Styela clava: one gene and its partner. The protein of the gene in region 2 binds, or shares a complex with, the protein of the main gene of each other region. Links are inferred from orthologs where the notes say so. Each region holds a gene or a part of one and is shown on either strand. Other genes may lie near its edges.

Evidence for each region. The genes of interacting proteins can lie anywhere in the genome.
Region 1: transcription termination factor 2-like (region 2) and A-kinase anchor protein 17A-like share a complex: the UniProt entries of both Homo sapiens proteins name them as parts of the spliceosome. The link is inferred for Styela clava from reciprocal best matches to the Homo sapiens genes TTF2 and AKAP17A.

What each region holds. Positions count from the first base shown.
Region 1 is NC_135263.1:13,032,208-13,039,428, forward strand, and holds the start of A-kinase anchor protein 17A-like, read right to left. Parts: upstream 3,019-7,221; 5' UTR 2,872-3,018; coding exon 2,755-2,871; intron 1,564-2,754; coding exon 1,451-1,563; intron 1,307-1,450; coding exon 1,207-1,306; intron 169-1,206; coding exon 16-168; intron 1-15. Other genes in the region: dynein light chain 2, cytoplasmic, read right to left, coding at 7,193-7,221. UniProt on the Homo sapiens protein: Splice factor regulating alternative splice site selection for certain mRNA precursors. Mediates regulation of pre-mRNA splicing in a PKA-dependent manner.
Region 2 is NC_135253.1:7,957,334-7,965,215, forward strand, and holds the start of transcription termination factor 2-like, read right to left. Parts: upstream 3,003-7,882; 5' UTR 2,999-3,002; coding exon 1,856-2,998; intron 1,618-1,855; coding exon 1,528-1,617; intron 670-1,527; coding exon 345-669; intron 1-344. Other genes in the region: BLOC-1-related complex subunit 6-like, read right to left, coding at 3,548-3,895; integrator complex subunit 7-like, read left to right, coding at 4,683-4,737, 5,872-6,001, 6,521-6,667, 7,389-7,573. UniProt on the Homo sapiens protein: DsDNA-dependent ATPase which acts as a transcription termination factor by coupling ATP hydrolysis with removal of RNA polymerase II from the DNA template. May contribute to mitotic transcription repression. May also be involved in pre-mRNA splicing.

The DNA of each region.
Region 1 (7,221 bases), on a different chromosome or scaffold from region 2:
TCATACAATACCCACCTTTGGCATAAAAAATTTGCAGGGTATATTGCTTATGTGTACTGTGTCTGGACGTTCTCCTGGCTGAGTCTCATCATAATCTTTTGAATCACGAAAATATGAATCCCAGTCATGACGAGATGGAAATGGTATTTTGCTTTCTCCACATGTCACCTAAATGATGTTAAATGCAACTTATTTAGCTAATATTTTTCATCACAATTTATTTGATGTGTTAATTACTTTCGAGTTATGTAGAGAAACGCGAGCAGAGAAGGTCAACAATGAAAAATCTGCTATTTTAAATCAATGGTTTTCAACTATTTTCAGCTTGCGGACCATGAAATTTTAAAACCAATTTTGCAGACGGGTAAACCATTTAAAATTTTCTCACATAAGAAAGCTGTACAAATATCAGCAGTAATTTATTTAACATATTTTTAACTGAGCTCAGGATATTCTTTCAAGCGATATTCAAAACTGTGACAATGGCTAGTCTTTATGCTTCGACATCAACAGGGTATCGCAATAGTAAGCTCAATCTGGGTTATGATCTCGCCCATGCATAACTGGTTTCCCAATATTTCCCATATGATTAGCCATTTCATGCATGGTCATAACTGAAAAGTTATTATACGGAGTAACATTTAAAATGACTTTTCAAGAGTGTACACGATGAGAAAAAGTTAGTATCGACAGAAAACGCTAGTTTTATAATTAGAATCGATTTGAAGCTGTGGAGTTAGTAATCACAGGAATGGATTGGGGGTCCTTATGGTGGCAATACCTTCTTTCAGTGGAACTTGTATTATCCATCTATTACCATGACAAATAATTGCACTCTTGCATTTTGATTGCTGTTGTACAGTAATAATAATACGGTTAGCATATACGGTAATAATGTCATCAAACTAGTTCTGAATTTGTGACCCTTCTAAATGCAATTTTGAATTTCTCGGGCTACAATTTTATCTATATTTATGGTTGTTTATCATTTTGCTGAGAAGTACACAAAGAAAAAACTGAATCCGTTATAATTAACTAGACAAGGTATTGGGATGTGCATTTTTAACTCTTAACACTCAACAGTTTTGAGAACCCCTAATTTTGGAGATCTCTCAATTTTTTGAACAGTTCATGTAGGCAAGGATTGTCAAGCTCTAATAAAGTCACACGGACCACTTTATGAAAACAAAATAAAAATTGTTGTACCTTGAGCAAGCCCGAAAACCCAGATAATTTGATATGTTTTCCATCCAACATTGAAACAAATGTAGAAACTAGTGATTTATTTTCCACTTCACCTTCAAATCTAGACAACAAAAAACAATAATTTTAAACAATTTACAGAATCATTTCGATGTAATCAAGGTAAAACAATTCTGCCAAACATCAGATCTGGTATACAATTGACCCCCAATTAAATAGAAAACAAGGTATATCATAAAACTACAACCTAACAAATTCCAAGTTACTCTTTGCCACTCGAAGCAATGTGAATTGGTGAGGGGTGCACATTGTTTTTAACTTTTCCATTACTTCCCAGTTTGATATCGTCTGTCCAACAACCTAAACAAATAAAATCAAGTTAGGTACGCAAAAACAAAGCCTAAAACAAAATACAATCAGGCTATATATGAATAGACCAGGCCAGTCTTTCGGTAGTAACTTTTTACATGAATAGGGCAGATTGGGGAGAATAGTTCCTACAGGAGTGGTGACTCCTCTACGGCCCATGGGCCGGGGCCACGACCCATCTAATTGGGCCACATGGCCCCATCAGGAAAAATTCAATTATCTTAACAAAATTTTCAATTTTTACCAAATTGTCAATATTCAAACCAAAAAAATATACTCCTGTAGTATGTGTACCAGGTTAGGGTTAGGACAAAAAAAATTCAGATTTTTTACATTATAGTTCTATTATGAGTTCGGGGACTGTCTGTGTTAGCCAAGTGAATAGTTTCTTTACACAACTTGATGGGCCGCGGCCCATAGCCTGATGGGCCGAGGCCCAATTCGATGGGCCGTGGCCCCGGCCCATGGGCCGCAGAGGAGTCACCACTCCCACTCAATAGTTCAGTCATTTTAGCATTTAGTACAAAAAAGAGACATAGAGACATAATCATTTTCAGAATATGTACTGCCAAATATGTACAACTGCGATCTTACACCTTCAACCAGTCTGGATTTCATGGCCTTCTTCCCAATAAATAAGGCGTGCAAATGAAAAATCCTGGCGTTCAATCAGTGACGTATGCACACCAAATGTCTGAGCCTACATGCAAATCTACCAAGGCCCCGTGAAAAACCTAGCGTGAAACTAACAGAATTTGAAACACTTGAATACACAAGTGTAAAATTATTTAAAGGGAACATCCCAACTGGGGCTTTGATGCACAGTCCAGTCTACAAAACGGTGAAGATGATGCAGATGTGGATTTTTACATAGGTCAAGTCAATTAATCAGAGCAAACAGAACGTGATAAAGGTACCTATTAAAGCGTCTCACATTTCAAGAGGCCCATATATTTTTTTATTGACATATGTTTTGGCTTGTTAATACAAGCCGAAATATGCGTGTTGTACAGGTGTTCATTGGCTATTTCATTCATTTCTCCAGAAGTTATGGAGGTTACAGGGTTAGGCGGTTTGGTGCAAGTCCAATGCATTATCGTACTGCATTATCTCATTACTGGATTATGCAGCCAATGGTAGATTACGTCAGTTGAAGCTCAGCTCTACATTCTCAAAATTTACCTTCATTTGCGGCAACGCAACGCAGACATTAACTTTAGCGTACGGCTTTAAATGTAGATTCAGCGACGGGCAAAGATTTTCCACGTCTGATAAATCGCTTACAAGCGTTGTATTCATCTCCACAGTATTCCTTGAACGTGCCTTACCCAGCTTGAAAATGGCGAAATGCAGACTAAGTAAAAATCACAAACAGTAAAACACGAACCTGCAACCTGAATGCATTACAGTACTCTGGCGCCTTTAGGGGGCCATTTGGTTGGAGCACAAGTTATTTGTTGTTGTTTAGTCGACCCTTGACCTCGCTAAATTTTTAAGCTCGTTTTGCAAGTGCTTTCACGAGCGGGAGCTCACAGAATTGTTTATTGGACAAGTGGGTGGACCTATGGATCGTTTTGATATTTTGTTGTTGTTCTTGGTAATTTTCGTCTTCATTAATATAAAATCGATTTTCTTTTCAGTTGTGTTCCGGAAATTTAAATCTAAATCAGATAATTCAATGATCACTCTGTGTTATTTTTCGAGAGAAAATTGAGATAATTCCCTGTCCTATTTTCGGGGAAACACGGTAAATCAGAACTCGGAAGAAGGCATTTTGATTTACATCTAAATTTCCGCAAAACTGCCAAAACATCATTTGTTAGGTTAGGGTGGTCCAAACTGCTGCCCATCGACACATTTCGTACGTCTCCAGAACAATTTTAACGTGCACTAAACCAGGGATGTCAAACTCGCGTGGCGTCCTGTTATCAGTACAAGGAAGTGAATTGTCATTTTATCTAAGATCAGTGCCTTAAGCTCGCGAGACGTTTTGTGCCTTCATTTCAATAAAAAGACTACTCTATTTTCAAGACAGCAGTGACGAACCACATAGCTGACGTTGCGCCTCACGATCTATGAGTTATAAAATTAGTCAAATATAACAATTCATCATACAACGAGTTTAATGAAAAAACGTATTCCCTTATCCACAACAACGTTAAACCACAGCGGCCGGTGTGTTTTCAAGTGATAGCTGTCAAGAAAGAATGTAATTTTAAGCGACATAACACAACCGAACGCGAGAAAGGAAAATATCACGGTATTGCTCGGGAAGCAATTTTGAAATACCAAAAGGCTTTATATAACTTCCCTAAAAAACTGATCAGAACGGTACTGATAGGACAATACGTGTGACTGAAAGAGTATATGGACATAAAAATAGCACAACAATAGTAGTTACATCTCTTGCCAACAACTAACAATGGATAAAACTTGAAAACGATATTGCGTGCTAGATATAGGCTACTGTATACCAATGCACAAAACATGAGCTTTGAAATAAACTATCCCTATACTTTATTTGCTCAAGTTTTGTTGATGTTACAATCAAACAAAAAAAAGAACATACGACAATAGCTGTTCGTGAATAATTTTTATGCTGGAAGGGACAAAAAATCACTGGGCCAATTATTTTTCTAGCATAATGTGTAGTAATTTTATATTGATTTGTAGTCAATTCTAATTGTATTTGATCCGAGACAATTTGTTATTTTTCAAAGAATTAAAACACGAAAAGTGTATTTCAAATCGTTCGTAACATTCCCTGATCATGAATGAGCCCAAACCTGAGATTTTTTCGATGTTTCGTAACAAACTTGATCAATACGGTTCGGGACAACTTGAAAATTGTCTAACATTCGAAGAATATTGATGTAATGGTCTTCTAAAGGTTGCAGCACGGCTCTGATAATTACTTAAAATAGCATTTTTATCTACGCTGTAGCAGCGCAATATCTAGTGATGAATTCTGTCAAGTGTCAACATACGATTTGTTGGTCAGAATTGTATTAGATGACCCAGAATTTTCTGACAAAAGTTTTGTCCCAAACTCGTAATTCGTTTCTGTACCAACGATCACAGCATGGGTTACCCCCAACTTTGATGAGTAGACAGACTTATAGATTTTATTGTAGTTTTCGACAATAGTACAGAATACAATCCTAAAACCTCACTGAAAAGATATCAAGCAGTGTTTATACACCTTAATTAAACAGCGAATCAATATTAATAACAAACGTAATAGCGTGACACGTCACATGCAGGAACTCTTATTATTAACCTAATACGGATAATTATCTTCGCCGTGCGGATTGGAATTTGCATCTAATTATTTCAATCCTTGGTATAATAATCTGAGGAAGAAATTTGAAATTGTTAATGACTGGACGAAATATGTTTCTGAAAGCTCAATTAAACTGTAAGATTTGTTTTTTACCAACATCACATTAGACATCATATTGGAAATTTAGGAAAAATTAATTTTGTTGTTCAGGCAAATCGGAGAAAATTTGAGGTTTCTGTTGATGACATATATATACGTAGTTAAGCGATATGAGACAAAAAAAAAAATCATGGAAAATATCGTAACGCTAATAACCGAATTGCGTGAGTCCTTTTTGGCGATTTTGAGTTTTTTATAAAATGGGTATTTATGTAATGCTGCGCACCTTTCGGTTAACTCAGATTTTATTTTAGGAATTCCGAAACCCATGGAGATTTAGTATGACATGCACATTTGTGCAATTGTTTCGTCATAATGAATTATCAGTGTTACCGCAGGACTATTGTGACGTCACAAAAGCAAAATAACCTCGGCGACGTATTTTTGAGTTTTTGCCTCTCGGATTCTAGCTTAGCGCGTATTAATTTGAATTTTTACTACAGTATAGGAAGACGTGCACTTGTGATATTTACTGTCCCGAGTCCAATTTACCTTGGTTGGCTTTATTTTTAAACATAAAAAATAATTTAATTGGAACTGATTAGCTATTTTGGGGATAAGACATTGTAGATACTGAGAATTATATTCGTTTTTGGAATGTTTAGTTTTCAAGACTGGTGCATATAGTGAAGTTGCAAAATTGCGTTAGTCCCCAAGTCATAGACACATTTCTGCCTAAGTCACAGTGCGCCATTATGACGTCACTTAACTGCGTCATACAAATTAACTTAAATCCGACTACGATAAAAAAAATTGAACCATGGCAAATTATTGACTCTCAATGGCATAACAATATCATTAGGAAGTTTTTTACGTTTTTCTCAAAACTGCGAAAAATGACTTACGCAATTCGGTTATTAGCGTGACGATATATATTTTGTCGTTCTGCTTGATTTTGTACGACAAATCGTTGGTGGTTCTTAGGAAACACGGAATTTAAATATAGATCCTGAGATCGATGCAATGACAGCAAAATTATCCTTAGATACCCAAATAACTAGAAAAACAAACTTCAAAAATAAATGCAAATGTTGATTCTTGAAACAATTATGGCGCATTAGCCTATCTTATAAAAATTGAGATTGTACATCCAAACACACTCAAGGTCCCACAGAAAATTCTGTACTTCGCAATATTTTCTATTGCATCATCTATGCACAAAGATAATGTTTACATTCTTATGGCTCAATTTTCTAATGACACTTCTCTTCAAGTTTTTTTTACATATTAATTAATTGCACAGCTTGAGTGGACAAGTGACAGTACAAGAATTGGCAAATATCCTCGACATCAAGATCTGTGCTAATATATATATTACCTAGTATGCCTATCGTCTGGATTGTCTTGAAATTGAAAACAGACGTAACCGAACGATTAAGGCTATGAATTTAAAAGCAATCTTCTGATGTACCGTGATGAGCGTTAGGAAATACGATTTCCATCGCGTGACTGACTACCTCTGCGTCAAATACAGTGGTAATGGCTGATACGTTTGCTGGTCCGTATGTACCTAACTGGTCTGCTAATTTTATACCCGACCTGACGTCCGTATTCTATGAATCTACTGTAATTGTCTTGAAGACTACATTTCATCAGAGTTGTAATATGATTAAGCTGGTGCTATTTGAGTTCACAAGGTAGTCCCCATAACACTGGCGCTAATGTTTTTACTCCTGTAGCTTGAGGTCGTGTAAATTTAATAATTGCGAATCTGAAAATTGTGGAGCAATATCTAACTTCTTGGGGAGACAAACGTAAATTTTATCAAGTCATAAAAATATTTTCGCTCATTACGCCAGGAAAGCGAGACGGTAAGTTGATAACAGCCCAGATGTAAAGCGCAGATATTTTGAAATGGCATAAAAATAAACCATAATTATTCGAATCTAACTATGTAAAGCTTACTAATCGGTGTTTTCAAACTCGCCAGTTCACTACTATCTCACTACTTGTCTCAGTCAAATATGATATCGCTAGGATTTACATCACACGTCGCTTTGAAGACGAAAATAACTAGACAGAGTTATACAAAATGGAATAGAAATAAAGTAGAAAATTTTTACATCAAAGACAGCAAAATTGTTGATCACATTGCACAGTGAGCACAATAGGAAACACTCAGTGAACAGTGAATTGTACATGTATTTATGATAAGTATCATAATGTTTGTTACGGGTTTTATCCTGACTTGAAAAGAAGAATGGCGA
Region 2 (7,882 bases):
TCCAGTATTAGCAAAATTATGTTAGGAATTTCAACGCAGATACGCAATATGAGTATATTTTTATGAGAAGTACTGCTACTGTAGAACAGTCCTTTAGAAGTTTTATTAGAGACATAGAATGATTTCATAAATAATTTTTTGTTACTATCACTGTACAGCAGATAGATGTTAATTATACCGAATGAGTTTGAAACTAAATAACTTATTTGCGGTATATCTATATTATTTCAGAGCTTCAAATAAAAAAGTTATCCTGGGTGTGTGCTCTTTTTTTTAAAATGTGGAATGTATACTAAAGCTTACAATTGTAAATCAACCATGCTTCAAAAAACAAATCCAATTACCTGTTTCACCAATGTCACTTTCTTCTTTACTGCCACCTTTAACTTCCCGTTTGATTTTTGATTCAGTTTTCTCATTTTCAATTAAAATAACAGAATCGTCTGATTCACTTGAGCTATTAAAGTCTTTGATGTCATCCTCTTCTTTAATCTGGATTTTAGTGTCTTTGTTTTCATCAGACAATTCTCTTTGTTTCAATATAAGACAGATCATCGTAAGAGTTTTGCCAAGACCCATATCATCAGCCAGAATTCCACCAGACATAGATTGTTGTTCTCTCCACACTAACCAAGCAAGTGCTTGTCGTTGATGGGTCATTAATGTTACCTGTAGAGAAACAGGGTTTATTTCAGTATATGTGCAATATACGTTTTGGTTCACCGTTCATGGTTATAATTTATGGTACTCCTGAAGTATGCGCACCAAGATGTCGCACAACCTGAACCCTAACCTGGTACACAACCTGAGTTCAGGTTGTGGGCCATCTTGGTGCGTATACTTCAGGAGGTCCTGATTTATTTTAACCGTTGACTGACATCTTGGGTACAAATCCTCTTTATAATGTACTATTTTTTAAAAATGATTACGTCATCGCAAATTTATCTTCTGCGGCATTTTAATTCAAAAAAATATTGCTGATTATGAAAATTTGACAATGATAAATTCAGAATCAGTTTTCGGTCGAAGTAGCCTATATTATAGTTCACAATTTTATTGCAAAATCATATAGGCCTACTTAATGTCATCCAACAAGTGTGCAGGTAATGCTGTTTTTCTTATGGTATCTCAAAATAGAATTTGCACATCAAACACTGAAAATTTGTCACATAAATAACATTTAATAATGGAATCGGGTTTTACTAAAATACTTCCATATGTGCAAAGCATGCTGCATATCATTTTGCAGAAGAGCAATCATGAAACTATCTCGCTTCATGAATAATTTTGATTGATACTGGGATAAGACCACCTGAAATTACTTTGCAGCCATTGTGACGTAACAAGTTAATATTATAAATTATTATGTCAAACGTCATGCTGAGGTGTTTCCCTGAAATTCCCAGCCCTAGCGTTTACACAAAACTGCATTTTCTTACTCAATCTTAGAAGATGACCAAGTATCAAGAAATGTTTTTATATGGACCACACTTGCATACATCTTTTGATGGAATTCATTTATCTAACCTTCAGGCCTTCAGGATCATCCAGTTCTCCTGTGGGTTCAGGTCTCGTTTCCAGAGACTTGTGAAGGTCCTCAATTGCAGCCTTTGTTATCTGGGAATAATAATAATAATCATGAAACTCATTTCAATATTTGGTTATATCTCGGATACTAAATAGTAAATACTACCCAAAATTAGGGTATGAATAATTTTAAACATTTAGGCAATAAAAATGCTGACCAGCTGACTGAATGAAAAACGATAATAAAAAGCTAAGCTTTTAAATTTTAGATTACAATATGAAATATTCTCAAGAAGATTAGAAGTACAACTATGGTATAATATATTACCTGACGGACTTCAGTCAGACGAGCACTTGTCATTCTTCCTCCATATAACGGACCATCGTTAAATTGCATTGGACCCATATCATATGCACTAAGATCTAATTTTCCTGTTCTCGCCCCAAATGGTTCCGCTTTTGGGAACGTAAGTTTTGTTTGAGTAAGTTTCCTATCAGGAGCAGAGTTAAAAGCCATAGGAGGTGCTATCATTACAGCACCTTGAGCATCAGGCTTTCTTGAATATGACTCTAACCATGGTCGTGTATGCTTAGGCATTGCATCAGCGTTTGAAAGAGGTAGTTGATTCTCTTTGTCAATGAGTTTTGAAGGAGTTGAATCATGACTTTTATCTTTATTTTTGCTTTTCATGGATAATTTTTGCAGTTCAAGTTCCAAATTGTTTATTTCATCTTTCAGTCTTCTACCACCATCTGGAAGTTTATCTAGTTTTAAACTGCGAAAAAGTGTTTTTTTCTTACCAATGTTCTCTTTCAGTCTCACAACTTCAGGATCCTCTAGTCTTGGGGCCATTCCAGCAGAATTAGGCCCAGTGGCAGAGACTACAATTGGCCCTTTCCTCATTGCAGGAACAACGCATGGGGGACCAACACGAATTTTTCCTGAGCTTAAATCTATAGGCTTCGGTTTTGGTCTCCGTTCGTGCTTTTCTCTGTACAAATTTTTTTCAACTATTTCACCATGTTTCGAAGAAACCTCTTTTTTACCGTGAACTTTGACATCATGAGGATGTGGGATCGAAACGAATGCTCCGGAGTTACCATTACTATACGTGCCATGTTGGTGTTTATCATGCTTGTGAGGTTGTTTCCTGCTATCCTGGTTCTGCATTTGATGATTTCGTTCAAGTCTTGTAACTGCTTCTGCTCTAAAATCCAGTTTACTATCACGACCAATGTGTTCTTTAACATCGAAGCAAAATTTATCACCCCTCGATATTCCTGATGTAATACCACAATTTCGCATTGTCGTCATATGAAAAAATACATTATCGTGATTAGGGACCGAAAAAAATCCATATCCTTTATCTTCTTTATAAACTGTGACAGTTCCACAATATCTTGTTCCTACAGTCAAAGCCTTACGATTGTGGGAATGATCGTTTGAATTACTGGAACTTACCTCGGCCATTAGGAATATAATACAATACTGAAACTGAGATCAAAGCATTGTCAGATGTAAAACCAAATTAATATTTTTAATATTATTCGAAGTTAAATAAATAGATTAATAATCAGGCTCAACCCTAAATAATCAAACAAAGCAAAAACAAATTCAAACCATCGAAAATAAATAATAAAACTTAGGTAAAACAATAAAATGCATAATTCTGTCCTAACACTTGCATAGAAATTACAAATTAGTTAATATTACTTGTTGAAATCTGCAAATAGAAATGCCTATTAAAAATGGCTTTGATGTAATATAACACTTGAATAGACATGTTTCATTTGATTAAATATATAAGCAGTATATCAGTACAGCAGTATATTATTGTATTTCACAATTCATAACAATAATGTAAAATTTGGAATTTTTTGAAATAAAAAAAAAATTTGAATGTCAAAACAAAATGATTCTATATTTATTATTTTATATTAAGAATTAGTTATTATTACTTTATCGAAGACTCATAAACTAATACATAAGATTCCTAGTCTGAATAAAAAAAAACTGTAATCATGGTATTTGAGCAACTTGAGCTTCTAGCATCAGCAGAGAATTTTGAATTTTTTTGATGCTTTGACCAACTTTATACACAGGAACCATTGCTTTATCAAGTTCCTCACAATGAGCAATCAGCATGTACATCGATTTCATTGAGTCATCAATCTCAACTCCCATAGCTTCAATTGCACTGCTATATGTTTGTGAATTAGCCACAGTAATTGCTGATGTCTCGTGTAGTTTATTAGTCAGTTTCTTAACTATATTGCCAAGGCTGTTAGAGAGTTTTTCTGTTTGCCGTTCAAGATCATCCAGTACAGTGCTATCAATCGCAGGAAAGTCATCATTCAAACCAGACATATTGCAACATTGGTTTGTTACAGTAGCCTACTGAAGTACCAAACAAATATGTATATACTGAAATAATCTGCAACTATTGAACAGACACAGCTGGCATTACTCTATTACAGTTTTACATCACATATTCAGATATTATTGTGAACTGGAACAGATATGAATTATTCATTGCACAAAAGTTTGTTCTAAGACTTTTCAATTTCTTACAATATTTTTACATCACCAATCATAGGCAGAGAGCTGCCCTGTACAATGTGCTTCAGTGACAAATTTATGCATTGCAGCAAACTATGCAATCATACTTTTGCTATCCATATTCAAATACAGAAATAGGCTATATCCTCGTGATAATTTTAACTTAGCACATATCCCAGTATCCTGATATCGCGTTTCAAATGCAGAGAGTGTACCAAAAAAATCCGGAAGTTTATGGACGACGATGTCACAGAATAATAATAATATGTCGACGATAATGAACCCCAAATCACTGAATTATGCTCAACATAACCATGCCAAGGATTCCTCCCCAAGTGTATTACGGTACGTATTACAGTATTATGGAATACGCAAACCGAATTCCCCCGCGAAGAGAACGATCACCCTTTTTTTCTCTTTCAATTATAACACGTGATTTCACGATACCTGCACGCATGACTTCACTCAAGACGATTGCTCGTGGCGAGAGGATCTACTTAGCACATCGCATTTCGCTAGCCATTCTGTAAACAGGCTTCCTCTTTTCCTTTGAATATTTTGGCGTCTGCCTATCATTACAAATCATAAGTCAATCATGATGGACGAACAAAATCAAGATGCCAACTCGGCGCTCATGGAACTTGATAAAGGTAAGCCTGCTTGTAATAATCTACTCTTAGGTCAGTAGTACAATGAATACAACATATGAACAAATAAATAACATAAAATAATTTATTTGAACTCGCCATCGTACAAAAAATGGCATAATAAGGTTTTAACATGGCATAAAAGTAAAATTCTATTGTTAATATATTTGCCTACTGTTTGTATGCTTACGTTTTGGATTGTTTTGATTTATGTTTATGTAACAAAATAGAATAATGGATACATAACATGGGCAATCTCACTTGTGACTGTATGACCATTTACACAATATTGAAAATAGTATATATATCAGTATATCAGTACCGGGTATATCAGTATATGGAGTTATTTTACTTGTTTCTGTGCAAAAATAGTCTGTTCCTACTGTCCTATATTAGCAATTCACTGGCAGACTGGTAAGTGTAAAGAGTTAGATATAGGATAGGATTTACTTATTTATCCTGGGGGAGAGCAAAGTCAATAAAACGGCTTAATCCATTGATGAACCACAGCCTCCCGTTCGGTTACCAGTCCATGTCGAATATGGGATTAGTCAGTCAGGTATTCGTTTTTCGATGCATGAACTTGATGGTGGAGGAAGCTGTACCGACCACCATTCCATCCCCCGCAAGATTCGAACCTGAGAATCCACGCAGAGCAATCAGAGCATATCAGTAATGCTTAGCACGAAGCGCCACACCGCCGAGCCATGAATTTTTGCTATCTTTTAATTTATGTAACATAACATATGGTGTGGCAAGTAATTTTTATTTATTTATTTTTTATTAACTACCAGTATGTAATTTTTCATGTTCCCTTTACTTAATAACTTCTATATGGTTGTGTGTGTGGGTGCGTGTGAGCGTGTGTGAAATATTTCAATTATTTTAGGTGAGTGAACACGTACCACATCTTCTTGGCAAAACCTTCCATCTTATATACATTCTGTACGTTTTAAACCTTATCTAAGGTTTTGTTCGCTCTCCTGATTTCATAATCAGTTTTTATTTATTTATTTTTAGCATTCATTTTATTGTTTTGCTGATTATGGAGTCGAAATAAACTTATACTTATACTTATATAACAGTACCACAGTATCCTGATATTCAAATATTATTTTATTCAATATTCTTTCAAAGGTCTTCGTGCTCAAAAAGTTGGCCAGCAATGTGAAGCAATTGTTCGATTTCCTGGATTATTTGAGAGATTTCCATTCCCAATTCTTATCAACTCTGCATTCTTGAAGCTGGCAGATGTGTTTCGTGTTGGGTAAACATCAGATTCCTTATCAGAAATGAATATTTCTTAAAAATAAATTTGGTTAAGGCTATAGACTAATTGTGTTAGTAAAAACGGTAGCGTAAAGCAGCCTTTTTTATTAATGATGATCAAGCATTTGAAGTAATGAAAATAGGTATGCACTGATACAGTCATGAAGAATTATGAAATGTGTAGCAATTTTATTTGACATGTGTAAATCAACATATGTATTTATATATATAGGCCTACTATAACTGAATCTCTTCATATATTTCCCTCAAGCATCGTATTTTGATACTTGATGTTAGATGAAGCGCAGTCAATCTATTGTCGTATTCAGGTTTTCAGTTTGAATCTTGATTAATAAAACATTAGGGTTTTTATCATTTCTCTAAAAGCATATTTGTCACGAAGTAGGTACAGTTTTTGTTAGTTCGAACAAATCGCAGCGATCATTTTTATGTATATACTTATGGATAGAAATTCTCGGTTTTTAAACATCGACAAACTGACAAATTATTTTTTCAGGAATAATTTTCTTCGTCTTTGTATACTTCGAGTGTCTCAGCAAAGCAATAAACATCTTGATAAAATTCTCAACATAACAGAATTTAGAAGAAGAATTTCTGTAGTTATTCATAGCAATGATCCATATGCAAGAGCAATAACTTTAAGGTTGGTTTTCTAAAAATGAGTTCCTCAACCTTGTTCTACCAGACCGACTATCGCATACAATCTCAATATTTTTTTTTTGTTCATTTTTGTTGCAATTAGGATCTTAATCTATTCATTGTGAACCATTAGTAGGCCTATTTCGAAAGCTGGATCAATACAATTATATTCCTTACCAAATGTATTTCATCATGCTAACTACTTATATTTCACTACTCATTTTTTATTTTATTTAATATGATGCTCACACACTTTGTTCGCTCTTAGCAAGGCTCTTTACGAGCTGCCACTGATCTCTAACAATATTTGGGAGGACCGGGATCTTTCTGACTTGTAATTGCCTGATCAATTACCAGTGGCGTAGCCAGAGGGGTGGTTTTGCGGGTCGAAACCCCCCTTTTGAAATGTAAAAAAAATAAAATCTTTTTTCTGTATCATAGATAGCAATTTTTCGTAGCTTTAAATGCTTTTTAGACCCTCAAGACTAATAAAAACACGCGTATTCTAGAGTCGATTAGTCCCGCTAGCTGTTTCGATCTAACTTGCCAAATAAAAATTTCAGAACCCCCCCCATGAAAATTTCTGGCTACACCCCTGTTAATCACCCTGGTGGACCCCTGTCAATCACCCTGGTGTAGATGTGTGTGTGCGTGGGGGGTGAGATGAGATTTGAATTAGCCAATTTCAATTACCGGTAGCTGTTAATGACTTGGTAATTTTTCAGGATGCTGGGCAGTATTGCTTGTATAATAAGTGATGAAAAAAGTGTTCACCACAGTATAAGACAAGGTTTGGATTCGCATGATCGTGTTGAGCAGGAAGCTGCAATATATGCAACTATTCAATTTGCTTCACATTCGGGGGAATTTGCTACAAGTATTTGCAATAAGATTGCAACAATGTTACAGGGTATGTGCTGTCAACTATCATACATGGATATCTATATAGTGTTTAGAACATTCCAAATTGATGTATTTTTTATCCATCAGTTTTATGACTCAAACTAAATATTCCTATTAAAAAATGGATGTTCATTTTATCATTGTTTCTGTATTTAAAGTTTAGATTTTCTAAGTTCAGCATTGATTATCTGATTTCCACATCAGGAAAGATGCTGGGTATGAGATCACATTATCTAATAAAAGATTGCTTGTGAACAGCCTTGTATGGAGTGAAGGCATGAAACAGTTCATGTTAAAGTCGACCAATCAAATCTCT